Linked DNA regions of Drosophila melanogaster. The protein of the gene in region 2 interacts with the protein of the main gene of each other region in a pairwise test. Each region holds a gene or a part of one and is shown on either strand. Other genes may lie near its edges.

Region 1 (4,083 bases), on a different chromosome or scaffold from region 2:
AGACATTGATATTAATGCGAAAGGAGAGGAAGTTTATGGAAACGCAGGGAGCGGGAACACCGAGAAATTGCCTTTGGAGGCCAAATGTAAAACAAATTTATTTACTGCTCAGCTGTAGATACACAAGCACACACACAGGCGCAATAGAATGCAGTCGGTTGGCTTTGTTTTTTTGCTTTTCTTATTGGCCCCAATTACGCAATACAATGTTTTTATGCCGCCTATTGGCCTCCGCCTTTTAAGTCGCCGTCCATCCCATTTGAACCTGCAATTCGACTATTCGGCGCTTTTCCACTGATTTCGGGCTTACTTTGTGTGAGTTTCAGGCGACGGCGGCGGAATTCGGCGAGAGCACGAAGTGTGGTGTGCCTTTGTTTTGTGTTTTGCGAGACTATTGGTCGGTCGGTCGAATTTGGACTTGGCTAACGGCCGGGAACTATCGGCAGACCGATACAATTTTGCCCCCCTTACTATCGTGCACCTTACAACACTGTCCATAGCTATCGATAAGGCGCCAAGAATGCACATGGATCAAACTTTGTCGATTTGTTATCACGAAGCAAAAAATATTTTTCGGTATATGGTTATATATGGGATCACAGCCTCAAGGCTTTTTTATAACTATTAAAACGACCAGATATGCGTACGTAGTTATTGACTCAAAGCTAAAAGCTGAGAAAAGGATCTAATGATCCCACAAAGAGTCATGGCAGCATAAACTTGGCGGAACATACATAGGGTCAAATGTGCTAAAAGACATACAAATTATCACATCAGTTCCGGGAGCTAATAAAATTATGGTGGTATACATGAAGGCACTAGTTAGGTGTACAATTTTTTACCAGGTACACTAGTTTTGGACACGTCATAAGAATAAGTCTTGACTTATAGAACATAAATATCATATTTATTAGCACTAACACACTTATGGGGTAGGATGACTTAACCGTATACCTATCACTAAACTATATCAGGTTTCGCGCTTCCTAGCCGTAGTATCCGCTTCCACCCGCACTGGCTGTTGCGAATCCTCCACTGCTGCTGGCGTAGGCCACGTCTAGAGGAAGAAACAGGTCCAAAACACTTGTAGATTACTTGTGTGCTAGGCACCGAGGTGCTATCAGTCGGGAAACTCACTCATGCCATTGCCGCCGTAGGGATATCCTCCATAGGGGTATCCGTACTGCCCGTATCCACCGTACATCGAGTACGGGTTGTAGCCGGGATACGAGTAGTACGGATATCCGCCGTAGCTGTAGGGGTATCCGTACATGCCGCTGCCGTATATGTTCCCGTATCCCGATCCCGCTCCCGCATTAGCGCCGCCGTAATAGGGATAACCGTAGTATTGGCTCGCGGATGGCTGCAGGAAAATGGCGACCAGGAGCAAACCGAACCAACAACATGGAGAGCGGCTCGACTGTTTCACTGACATGATTTTTCTGGCCATGTTTATCGTGTGTAATCCTCGAACGTTGACTGAATGCAAAAACCCCGGCATTAACTGATTTTATAGAGTTTGCCGCCGAATGTTTGCAATTTTAAAGCATAAAACGCTTTTTTAATGGAGCTTAATCGGGCGCCCATCAGCGGCTGCTCGGTTTGCTCGTTCGTGCGTAACCCAGCCGGCGTATACGCAATATTTTTAAATCCCAATATAAACGCTCTGCAAACGTATGTATTTAGTGCAAGTTAACAACAAGAGAACAAAACAAAACAAAACTATTTGGCTCTTTTTTGCCTATCGCCGCGATTACTCATCCCACATCTCGTCTGATTTGTGATTGCCGTTTTGCTATCAATTTAAATTAGTCAGTCAGCCGCTTTTTTTGCCAGGGGTTCACATTTATTCTGCGTAAACACAGTCATTAACCTTAAAATTGGTTGATGGTCCGCCTAGTCATGTGCGATGCCAGTGGTGCTTTCCACTTCTTTGAGGTTCATTGCCGACCTGGACCGTGGTCAATGCTCATTCACGCCCTTCGGATGAGGTCAACCGTAATAACTCCGATTCTGATAATTGGAATCGTATTGGTTTTCGGATTTTCCACTGCGATCAGCTTGGTCGTTGGCCGAGAGTTCAGTTTGAGGGACTTTTGGCTACAGAATTTTGGCCTTGGTGGTCATGCATCGACGCTGAAACTATTCCACAATGCGAATCTGTCGGTTTGGAAAGTGATACTTGAGAACTGCATAATGGAAAGTTCAATGTACTTATAGATTAATTTATTCTTCTTGGCTATGAAAGTAGGCTTACAACTTAGTAATTTAGTGATGTTAGATACGGTGGGTTTACACATCTCGCATAGTAAATAAGCTTTTAAAAATGTGAAAAACGCAAGTCGTGGGCAATTGCAAGGAATTGTTCTCAATACACTTTGTAGCTCTTGCATATGTGCCCGAAAAGTATACAACATGCCATTCATAAATATTTAAGGCCTTTCCCGTACCCAACTCATTCGTGTTCGTGTAGGTGTGTGTCATTACACTGGCCAACAATGCAAAATGTCACAATTGGAATTGTCCCGCCTTTGGGTTCCCATGCAGCTGACGTTTGCCTTCCGCCGCCCGCTCACTCACTCTCTCTCTCTCTCACTCTCTCTGCCGGGGTGGTTTCTGACTCTCTCTTCTTTGCCGCACTACTCCAGGTAGCTCAGGTAGGTTTGAGCCTCGTAGGTGTTGCATTCCCGCTGACCTCCAGTAGTTGAGTGAGTTGCTCCGGCCGGATGCCGACTACGCATGCTCAAGCCTGGATGTGCACGGATTTCGGGACACCCTATATTAAAGTAGCCTCAGTTGTTTGAGCCGAGTGACTTGCTCATAAATTCGGCTTGGTAATTTGTGTACTATTTAAAAGGGTTTCATAAAAAGATTGTAATTGAGATCTTGTGCAAATAAATTAAGCTTAAAACTATTATCAAATAATAATATATTTTACAATGACCCAAAATAATATTACATATAATGCATAGTGAACACGCCTTATATTCTTAAAAAAAATGTGTGTCTGTAAGTTTTATTTATAAGAAGGAAATTATGGTTATATTACGACTTTGAAATTCTATCTCTCGACATTAAAAATGCCTCCTTGAAAGTTAACATTCTAGAAAGGGTACGCTTCCCCAGTCCCCAATTTAAGGACTTAATTTTCCAAACCCCAAACGAGCAATTTTCATATTAAAAAGTTTGTCTATGCCGAGCCTAACTCCCGTCCCCACTTTCCGATGGAAAAATTGAAAGCTATCCCTTACAAAACTTCTACAAACTTTTCATTCATTTACCCTCATACTTTCGCATCATATTTGGGACAGTAAAATGCTAATTGTTTGTCCGAAACGAAAGAAACCTCCTTGTAGCCATCAATTTTTCAGCATTCTTACGTGTAATTAATTAAAAATTTGATGCAGCAGCAACTTTTGTTTGCTGTCGAAATTACAGCAGCAACAAAAAGCTAATTAAAACTTAAAATCATATAGGAGTGCAACTGGAGCCGTGCCGTGACCCACAGAGATCGCCCACTCGAGAGTCTCACTCACTGGCAGGAGAAACTCACTCAAAGCGCCGAATTGCAACTGAAGTGTTACGCATACGCCGCGTGGGACCGAGCGAGATGCCATCCTGCTGTGAGTGAAAGCCGGTCGAAAAAATAAAGAAAAAATCAATTAAAATGCACTCGAGTGCACCGCGCTTCTGCACTCATTTTTTGGGTTTAGCAAATTTGTAAGAAATTTTTAAACGAAAATAAGCGAGGCAGAGAGTGCTTTCTCCCTTTCTCGCCATATCTACATCTCGCTTGCTCCTTCCCTTTCGCTGCGTGTGTGTGTGTGCGTGACTGTGTGTGTGAGAGGCGGGGGGATATTTCGATTCAGTTATTTGTGCAATTTCGCTCAGTCAAGTTGTGTGTTCCTTGTGCAGTGTGTGCGCCTGGCATCCATCAATCAGCCGACCGAGTTTGACGAAAGGAGATAAGATACCCAGAAATTACCCAACAAATTTACAAGATTCCTCCAGCCTTCCCCCGCCTGGCAACCGATATCAGCGGATTAAGTGCATAATCCTTCAACAGCAAAACGCCGCCAAAGA
Region 2 (6,419 bases):
AAAGTCGCCCGGAAAATGTGGCCAAAGGGTAAAAAGATGAAAAGCATAGGAGAAAGCGTGGCAAGGGGTAAAGCTCAACTGCAATCGAGCAACGGGTAAGTAGATGCAGCCGAGGACTGCAGCATCTCTTAAGAGGGTACAGCATACAAATGGCAGCACTGCGGATAATTACATATGCATTTTAGTTTATTATTATTGCTTTCAACAAAGAAATACATTAATATTGATGAACTACTTTTAAACGTTTTAATAAAACAAATGCTTACACATTTAGTATAGCGAGTTCTACAAAAGCGATGGGGTTTTTATTTGAAGCAAAACATTGCATACTTATAGATACCTTTTGAAAGACTAGTAAATATATAGTCAAATAGTAATGAGGAAGTTTTTCCAAGCCCATTGTCACATCTCAAATTATTCCCGAGACATCCCGCAAACTAACAAGCACTCAACCACTTTGGTGACCATTTTGTGTTACTAAAAGGGCTTTTCCGGTCACATGTGCCGCCTCCTCGTCCTGTAAGCCGCATAAATGAACTGCTAAAATGCTAACAAAAGCCCGAAACGGAAACGACCCCCGCACCGTGAAAAACGCACCCCCGCTTATTTGTCTGTTGGGGATATTCGCTTGGGCGCGGCAGACAAACGCGTACGAAAAAAAAAAAGGATATGGGCAAACCCGGCTCTCTATTATAATTTCCCTTTTTTCAGTTCGCTTGTGTGGTTTGTAATGTGTTGTGGCCACAAAATACTGTTAGCCACTTAATTTTGTGGTTTACCCAGAGAGCGAAAACGACATATACTTTTTGTGTGGTTAATTGAAACTCGATTGTTTTGTGTTAAACCAGAAATGAGTCTATTAAGTCCGAAAACGAAACTAAAACCATATTGTGAAACAAAAGGAAGCTATAAAACGTTTGACTCTGTCCGCCATTAAAGTGGCATCTAAATAAACATTTTATGGTTTTTGAAAGGCGAAACTTTCAAAAGCTTCTTAATGAACACGACAAAAATCCACAATGGACGGGGGCATTTTATGAGAGCATCACCAAAAATGCTCCAAGAAGGCGTGGAGCAGCAGTGGCAGCTGTCAATATATGGCCGAAATATGTAAATTATTGATTGTTAATTCAAAGCGCCACGATTAGTATAATTGTGTATTTCTCTTTCAAATCCTAAACATTTTAATGCCATAAAGTTAGAGCAGCATTTCGCCTTTTGAATATTTAACCAATTGCGTGGTCTTGGTTGTGTTTTTACGACCATTTTTGCTTTTTACGATGATGCGGACCCAATAGAGCAATTTAACCAGAGATTATGACTCCTATATTTGATTTCTTAAATTGCCCTAACGTGGGAGCTATGATTTAGATATTAAACTGCATATGTACATATTAAGCATTAAGAGAAATTTAATCGGCAAACTTGAATTACAAATTTGTTTTTTTTTTATTAACATTTTTTAATGTTAAAGATGTTACGATATTACTTTCGAACATTCCATTCTTATTGCATTTATAGCATCTAAGTGAGAAACTAAAATTGATTTCAGTGTGCAAAATGAGGGATAAGTTCGTCTCAGACATTTCCCGTCATCATGTGCAACCCGAGATTTTCATTTTCGCCAGCTGTTTTCTGTTTACAGTGGGGAAAACTCTCTCTGCGAAGTGAGGGAAATACACCAAATCGTGTTCTCTCCACGGAAATGGTTCTCTCGTTTGGTGCTCTAAATCATATTTCCTCGGCTTGCAGTTTTTAACACATTCCCCAACCCCTCCTCACACACACTCTCACACTGGCACACCAACGAGCGCCACACACACGCCCACCTGCTCGTAAACAATTATGGCCGACGCCGTTCCGCTCTCCACACGCACACAGGCGCCATGGCTGCACACACATGTGTGGAAATAAATTCCCCACAAAACACTGTGAAACAACAACAACAGCAACAAAATTACCCAAAATGGCTACACAGAAGCGGCGATCGTCCAATGAGCGTGTTGGTGTCGGTGTGCCCAGCGTTGTGTGTGTTGTGTTGGCTCTATTTTTAATTTCCAATATTTTATTTACACATTTCTAGAATTTTTTAGCTTTGTACTCAATGATAGCGCGCAAAGAAAAACTTTCCAACTGGGCGTATACGCAATATTTAAAACTTATTGCTTGATCTAAGTGTGAACTTACTTGTGCTCAGAATTACAAATTTCCAAAAATCTTTCCCTACTATGTGTATAATAAATGTTTAAGATTTTATTTAATAATATTAAAAAATCCTTATAATTCTTGGTACATAAGTATAATATAAAAAAATGTTTCTTAAACAACCGGGTACCGTGATTACCCTTCATTTTATTTATCAAATTTAAAGCGGAAATATACATTTTCAAAAATATCCAGAAATTTCCGTTACTTCCCATCGTCAACACTGCTTCTCCGTCACATAGTATCCGTCTACTACTAACCGCCAATTCTACTACGCTTTTTGGCTCTCAGCTCCCACGCGAAATTCGCTGCCTCAGCAAAAAGCATGCGCGCTCAGCAAAGAGCGCAGAACTAAAAACGTTTGCTCTCGTGCCCCAACTACTTCGCTCTTTCGCTCTCGCGCCCTAAGAAAAAGGGGAGCGCATGGCCTCGGACAACAACAAAAGCACACTTGTTGAAAACGAAAACGGCCACAAACAACAAAGAGCGAACTGGTTTTCAAGCGAGCGCGAAACTACTGAGAGAGCCGATTGGAGAGTGGGGGTGATACGAAAAGAGCGAAAAGGAGCGTGCACGTCATGTTGTTTATAGATTTTTAGTCGAATTTCGTTATTTCACGTTTAAAGTTCGTACGTGCGCTGAACGGACGGACTGCTACGACCGGAGTGTTGTGTTGTGAGTGCGAAAGCGTAAAATCGGCCAGGCGGATACATATGCACTTCCCCCAAACGCAAAAAAAAAAAAATTTTCAAAATATATACGAGAAAGTCAACACAATCGCCTATTTTTTAAGTCGTTTTCGAGTGATCCTTGTGCTTTATCAAAATTAGACTGAGTTTAAAACAAAGTATACATGTGAAACAAAATTAGCTCAGTAAATAGCAAACTTTTGGATAACCCCACGTTCCCGGAACCATCTAATAACGTACGTGCCTCATCATAAAACGCGCCCTCAACGAGGCATTCGAGCGAAACCACTAACCAAAAACGGCCAAGCCAAAGAAATAAATAAAGTACATACATACCTATGTATATCTAACAAAAGGAAAACCCATAAATGAATACATTGTAAAAGCCCATGCGTGAATCAAACGTAAATATTGTAGATGCAAGCCAGCAAAGAAAGTAGTGTGTAAATTCTTTTTTACACACATATGTATCGTGTACACATATAAATAATAAATACCGCTGAGGCAATTATAATACTTAATGAATTTATTGCACAATTAAAGCGAAGCCAGCATATCACAACAACAAATTAATATGCCGCTGGCGTGAAAGTCACAACTCGACGCATGAGAAATCCCCCCTGCGCCACAGCACTGAATTATTAATGAAATCGAATTACAAACAAAGCCCAGCAAGCATCAGCAATAACGATTGCGAATCGAAATCGGAATAAATAATAAAAAGAGGAAAAATAAAAAATAAACACAATAATAAATTATCATAAATAAGTACTCACATCAACGAGAACCGCGAAACGTGGACGGCTTAATCAGCGAAAAGTCAGGCAGCTGGAAAATATTTCAAGCAAGGCGCAGGCGCCGCTTTTCACACGAGTTGGCAGCACACGCCACATAAATTGGCACTTACCGTTAAGCGCACTGCCGTACTTTGCGGTCGGGACAAAAGCAACAACCACTCAACACCTCCACCGAACCACCAAAGAAAAGCCGTCAAAGTGGATTTAACAAATTATAATAAAATGCTGCAATCCAGCAATCATCATTATTTAAGACCGGATTATATGACAGCTGCAGCTGCCCCAACAGCGGTAAGCCCATCTCTTTGTCTCATTTTTGGGGTTTTTGGGGATAATTCTCACAAGGTATTTTATTCGGCAATCAGAAATTTATTGCGTTTATATGGACTTAGCGCTTATCGCCTAATACAGCTCAGTGATTATTGCGATTTCTTTTTCAGTGAGTTGGTTTAGCTATCTAATATGGGATAAAATATTAATTGAAAGGGATAGGTATCTGATGAACAGTTTCGGTTAAAAGTCATTAAAACTATTATTTCAAATATTGATTGGTCTTAAAATTTAATAATATTCTTAAATGTTGATAAGAAGACGTAAATTTCGTATTATTTGTTTTCGCATTCTTCACACTCTCTTCAGAGATTATTATTTCACTTTGGTGTTCCGATCGTTAAGTAGAACAAATCTTGTTAAGGGTTAAGTTCTATATATATCAAAATATGAATAAGAAAAATGCCAGAATAGTCATGGTTTAAACAGGATAAGAAGAGTAGTACAAATTCTAGCAATAACACCCAATTCGCTACGTTCGATTATAAAACTTGCAGCTATGAATAACAAACTATCGACATTTCAGACATCTGAAATAGATTGTCGAGCCATATTTCATATATAATAAAAATGTCGACTGTAAGCACTCGCCACTGGCGAAATATGTATGAAACTACGGCACCAATCCGAAACGAACAACCTCCTCCAAACTTCCAGAAGACTTTGGGCCATGTGCTGGCAAAACGGAACTGTTTTGCGGGGTCTGGGAAGAGGCAAATAGCGAATTCACAATCGTAAAACGATAAATTCTCCAATATCTGCACATAAAACTTATTTATGTTTGTTCATATTAAACTATGTAAATCTGCAGCCCAGTTGCCTCCGTCTGAAAGTGTTTAGAGAGTCGAGTGCACCTCTGGAAATTGTATCTAAATTTATGGCGCGCCAAATTTGAATTTATAATGACAGAAAACAAATGCAATTTCGCACACTTACACACACCGGCACACACACACACACACACGACCGTAGTTCGAGGAACTATGGCAGTTAATCAGAGTCAAAGTTGTTGTGGTCCCCATTTCCCCCACTCACTTTATCCAAAACTATCTCTCTTCGAAATGGCGTGAGACTCATAAATTTTCATTTTAATTTGTTGAGCGCATTTTGTTCGTAAAGAACGGAAGCAGTTTATGGCACCAGCACGATGAGTACATTCATTAACTGGGTAATTTGAAATAGCGTTTTCGGAGCTACGTGATTTACTGATTTCGGAGAGTAGAGCCCAGCCATTTCCATATTGGTCGTGTGAAAGCTTTTCAGTGGCGCAAATGAGGCAAAACCCATAAATCAACGGATCGTATATGCATACGAGGCCCAATGATGAACTGGTTCCGGTGCCAAGTGACTGACAGATTCTGTGAATCTGGGTTTCATTAAAATTTAAGTGTTGCGTCTTTAAGCAACGAGATGTAATCTCAAATTCTGTCGATCAGTAAATTATGACGTTCTATTAGTATACTCGCACTAATTATTTATGACGTTCTATTAGTACTGTAATGAACAAATATTCTTGCTAATACGTTTTTCTTTAGAGACTTAAGAGCTTACGCGCGGCACTTTGAGTTAATTTATGTTTACGTGTCTGCCGGTGACTGACTAACCTTCTTCTTTTGTGCTTTATCTGCGATACTATCTGCGAACTTATAAATTATTCAATGATTAATGGCAGCTGCTTATAATTAATTATAATAAAATCAAATAAACTAAGCCTGACAGCTGTCAGTGTCATCATTTGTATATCTTTTATGTGGCGCCCCATAAAAGCAGCGACATACACAGAAACACAGAAACCGAAAGAGAGAGATCTTCAAAGTGACTGTTGATAATTTGCTGTCACACGTTGAAAAATTACAAAACTTTTTGACCGAAGAAGGCAGCGGCGTCGCAAAATGGAAATAAATGCGACCGTTGCTGAGCTATCTGTTGGGCAATAATTCAAAATCTGAAATCTGAAATGTGAACGTGAACGTGAAAGTCAGCTTCGGTTCCAGTTTGCGCGGGCTCATGTCAGAGCTTAACATGAGCTCAAGACCAGTCAGTCAGTCAGTCAGTCGGACAGACAGACAGTTAAACTGACAGAGCAGCAGAAAAAGGTAAATAAAGTGCAAATGTCAGCTGACCGCAAACATCATTAATATAATTAAATGTGTCAGTCAAGCGGCCATTTATGCAGTCCGACGTTCATTTCAGTTAACCACAGGCTGCTTGGCAGCGTACGGTTTGGTTTGGTTTGGTTTGGTTTGGGCCACCAAATAAACCCAACACAACTGGTCGGATCTGGCAGTTAAAGTGTGCGCTTGACATAACGGCTCCGTCTCAGGCCTTTCCCCTGCGAATTTTCGCCCCCAATGGGCCATTCTTTGGGCTTTGTGCTTGCGTGTGGCTCTAATTAAAG
Region 3 (4,515 bases), on a different chromosome or scaffold from region 2:
AATGACATTTGCTTTTTCCAATTGTTCATATTTTCATTAAGCAACATTTGAATTTTCCCGAATGTAACCTGTAATCGCTTCACTTCAGAATCAGAATTAGAAATGTATTCAAGTACGAGTTTCCGCATTGCATGGCTACATTTCTAATTTCGGTCTGGTCAAGAACAGGGCCCCAGAGCAAGTCTCACGTCAAATTAAATCAAGCTGTAATATAAAGAAAATTGAAGCCAAGTCCCCTTTGTGCCATAAACTACGGATGGCCAAGGAGCATGCGGTGTGGGGGAAAATGAGACTGGCCTTGGTGTGCGAGTGGGTGGGGTGGTTTCCGCAGCTGATTGGCAATATAACACCAAGGAACCTTAGCATTCATGGCGGAATTTAACCCGTGTGCCAGTAGTTCAGATTCAACAGAGTTTTGTGGTTAATATTTTATTTCTCTCGTAATTTATAATATAGAAATTTGTTCAAACAAGTGCTTATCAAAATATGTACCTAAATATCACCAATGTACTGAAGAAATTTATGTTTATTACAAATATACACATTAAATCTTTAAACAAATGAACAACCACTTGTAATTGCCAGTATATAAATTCGACCTGCTAAATGGCAACTGCACTGGCCTCATAAATACAAGCGCCAACTAACCGTGCCAATTTATGGTCAACACTTAATCTAAGCTGTCAATGTGGATGCAACACCAGCGGTAAGAACTACAAAACTTGGCCAACAGAGGAGTGTGTGTAGTGGGTGACTAGTGGCTAGTATCGTAATTGGCGGGGATTACGACAAAACGTAAAAGTGCAGAACGGCATGTGAATGCGGAAGTCGAACTCGCAATTGGCCAAAGTGAAGAAGTCGTAAAGTTTTAGTTGCATTCTGCCGTCTTCGCCTCCGAATTGGACGCTTAATTTATGTTTCAATTCCAATTAGCCAGCGAGGCGCGGGCTTTTATGTTACTATTCCTTCTTTTCGCTTTCGAGTGCACAGAGAAAAATTTCCTTTTTGGTATTAGGTTAAGTGCTAAAATAAATTCGTATCATGAATTAAATACTCTAGTGTTTTAAATGGCTACTTATACATATGGTTTGGTGCTTAATGTAGGTTTTTCTTTATTGAGCAGTATAATGGCGTACTTTTTATTGCTCCCACTTTCAAGCAGCAGACTTATTGAAATTTTTTTTTTTAATTTCAAAAAAATCTACGTACTATTTCATTCATCCAAAATAGGTTAGAGGGAAGATCATTTCCCACCGTGCTCCCTGGTAATTGACTTTCGGCCTGGCCCTGACGCGTCATTTGTAATTGTATATCAGCACGAGGAGCGACGAGAATGGCGGCGTTTATTAGCCATGGCCAAATGCAGCTAATTGAAGTTCAAATTGCGTTGGCGCATGAGTTGAAATGGCAAAGGAAACCGTTGAAATGTAAGCACTCACATGTGATTCCTGTCGGTTCAATAAAACGTTAAGTTCAGTCAGACGACAATGCAGACGTAAACGAAGACGAATCCACTTAAGGCCAAAACGAAACTCAAAAAAAAAGGAAAAAAACAAGTAATGCGAAAGCCAATTCGACACTCAAACACAATCAGCAAAGAAAAGCAGAGTCGAAAGTTGGGCTGCGAAATAAAATCAAGCATAAATGCAATAATACAATTTATGTGCCGAATTTCATAAGGACCATAATGGACATACAAGCACACACTCTCCCCCCAAATCTCCCAAATAATCTGCACAATAAAGATATGTGTATCGAGTGGGACCAACAAAGGTGACTTTCTCAAGTTGGTCAGCAATCGCTGTTACCGTAATCACATTTGGCGCCGAGATGTTGATGCTATTTGCCAGTGTGTGTCATTTTCATTGCGCAAAAGTTTTCCTCCGCTTTTGATGGCAACAATGTCTCCAACACTTGCCCATCGGATATCCGGTCTCTCCATTCAGTTCAGTCCATCCATTCCATCCATCCATCTTCCCATTCTCTGTGTCGTTTGGCAAGTTAACAACATTTGCTTGACGTTTGCCAATTGCATTATGACTCAATTGTGAGTTGAACGATTTCACGGACCATCCAAAGAATCAAAGAGCGGCATCGCATCAATGAGGCAACTTCAAGTTGACTGGAGTGTCAGTCCGTTGAGAGAGAAACAGAAACGGAAACGGAAACAGGGAACTAAGTATAAAGCGGAAGTGAGGCGCAGTTCGATCGAAAATCAATGGAACTTTTAAGAAGTGATGCATTTGGAGGTTTAATAGTTGATATTAGATATATTTTTGATATATTCATATCTGCAAAATTTAAGTCATGGGATGGATATGTTATTTTCATACGTTTAAAACAGTGATGGTTCCTTTGCTGCAACTATTACCACTTCGGATGATACAACTATCCACATTAAGATGCATATATTCATGTGGAAGCGTAACACTCAGATTGAGATGCTTGAAGAGCGGTTGGAACTGAAATGCATTAACAATTTGGCAGCGGCGTTAATGCATCTCCGATGGGCAATAAATCGCGCTGGCCGCAATATGTTTTGGCCACTTGATGGCCCTTCAGCGGACAATTGTAAGTTGCCATCACCGCGAAATGTGGAGCAAGTGCGGCAAGTGCACAGACCTTACCTTATTCCGGGCATTATGCAATGTCTATGGGCCAAAGTCTTGGGCTTTATAAACTGGGTCGACGACACGCCCTTCTCCATTGCCTTCTCCGGCTGATAGGCTCACCCACACCGACTTTTGTGGCTGTCACTTGGAGCTGGGCAATTGTAAATTGATTTGCCACGATCGAGGGATAGAGAAATGGATTTCTGAAAGTCACGCAAAGCCAGACGGCAAAGCTGAAACGAGTTTGAGCTGTACGCCCGATTATGAGTAATTGGCATTGCGCTGGTCAGGTCTTCTATATATGGCCCAACCACCGAGTTATCCAGCACAGTTGTTCCAATTGCTCCAATCGACATGGCTTACTTCCAGTTCCTCAGCGTTGCCTCCAGCTTGCTTCTACTCCTGGCTCCCACCTGGGCAGGTCTGATTGCTCAGCCGACCATCACCTATGCTGGCAATGAGCACGCGGTGGCCCACACCCAACAGAATGTAGTAAGGAGCTTCGATGGCACCGTCTCCCACTACGCCAAGTCGCTGGCCACGCCCTACTCGCAGGTCCACAAGCAGGACACGCGGATCAGCAACAATGTCTACCAGCCGGCGGTGGCCAAGACCTTCAGTTATGCTACAGCTCCAGCTCCGGTTTACACGCACCAGGCTCATCAGGAACCAAAAAATCTGTTTACTCAGGCATCGCCAGTTTACCAGCAGGATGCTCATGTCCAGACTCCATCGGTTTACCAGCAGGCTGCTCATGTCCAGACTCCATCGGTTTACCATCAGCCCGCTCAGGTGCAGAGCTACCACCAACCTGGTCATGTGGAGGCACCTTCTGTTTACCAACAGAACGCCCACTACAGCCACCAGCCTGCTGTCATCCACTATTCTCCGGCGGAGACCGTCTCCCACATGAGCTTCGATGGTTTCGGTACCCACTACGGATTTTAAGTGATCAATACTTAAGTTAAGATTATAAAGAATAGCTTGTGTATGCTTGTTAAATAAATTGTTGAACTAAAACCTTAAATGTTTTTAAATACTTATAAAAACTGGACATTGTTTCTTATTCGATTTAATTTTTTATTTAGTTAAGCTCTGCAGTTAATAGTTGTTAACAGCTTGTTATATAATGTTCTTGCATAACCATATTTGCATCATGTACGCAGCATTTGCATTGGTTTTCTTGTACATCGTGTGGTTTATTCCCTGTTTATCACTCACGTTCGGAGGCAGCGTAAACAAATCATAAAAATCCACACAAAGTGCACCCTACAAATAGCCCCAAGTAGGACATTAGCTCTGGTCCTTACACCAGTCCGTGATCCTTAGATCCTAGGGCAGAAGGATGCAGAGGGCTTACGTGATTTGTGCAGCGCAAACTTAAAAATCGGACATGAAAGCTACGTGACTGGAATGGCAACCAAAGGAGCCAGGAGCATTTGAAAGGGCGAAGGACCATGAAGTGGCATGGCTTATGAACTAATAAGATTCTGCCCATCCTCGTAAATTATGCACATTGACAACTGTAATCGGGAAATTGAAATCAGATTTTTGCTGCCTCATTAATTTTGCAAAAGAAAAAGGAAAACTCCATACGCAGCCGGAAGCAAATCGAAAACTTATGAATGCCCGGAGTCAATAACCAATTTGTGTGCTCCTCTTTTTTCCATAGCCTATTTAAATGATAGCTTCATTAGCTGGCCATCAAAGTAATGGCCAAAATGATTACCAGAACAGGGCCAGCAACTTCTGGAGCGAATTTCCGAATTGAAAAACCGAGCAAAAGGCACAAAGTTGCGAAAAATGAAGCCATAAACTCCGCTTAGTCCGGCATCCTGCAGGACCTCCTGTCATTCCCCCTTTTTGAGCCACCACTTCTGTCCGCCACTTGAGTGCTAAAAGG

Evidence for each region. The genes of interacting proteins can lie anywhere in the genome.
Region 1: the proteins of elB (region 2) and CG14563 interact in a two-hybrid assay, tested with the Drosophila melanogaster proteins (one large-scale study listed by BioGRID).
Region 3: the proteins of elB (region 2) and CG7548 interact in a two-hybrid assay, tested with the Drosophila melanogaster proteins (one large-scale study listed by BioGRID).

The regions. Positions count from the first base shown.
Region 1 is NT_037436.4:21,840,921-21,845,003, forward strand, and holds CG14563 (uncharacterized protein), read right to left. Parts: upstream 1,467-4,083; 5' UTR 1,436-1,466; coding exon 1,138-1,435; intron 1,058-1,137; coding exon 987-1,057; 3' UTR 888-986; downstream 1-887.
Region 2 is NT_033779.5:14,405,931-14,412,349, reverse strand, and holds the start of elB (elbow B), read left to right. Parts: upstream 1-2,800; 5' UTR 2,801-3,913; coding exon 3,914-3,982; intron 3,983-6,419. UniProt on the Drosophila melanogaster protein: May negatively regulate Notch-induced cell proliferation in the eye-head primordium. May act in leg and wing primordia to negatively regulate body-wall specifying genes and thereby promote appendage formation. Required for tracheal development.
Region 3 is NT_037436.4:7,504,653-7,509,167, reverse strand, and holds CG7548 (uncharacterized protein), read left to right. Parts: upstream 1-2,950; 5' UTR 2,951-2,966; coding exon 2,967-3,560; 3' UTR 3,561-3,628; downstream 3,629-4,515.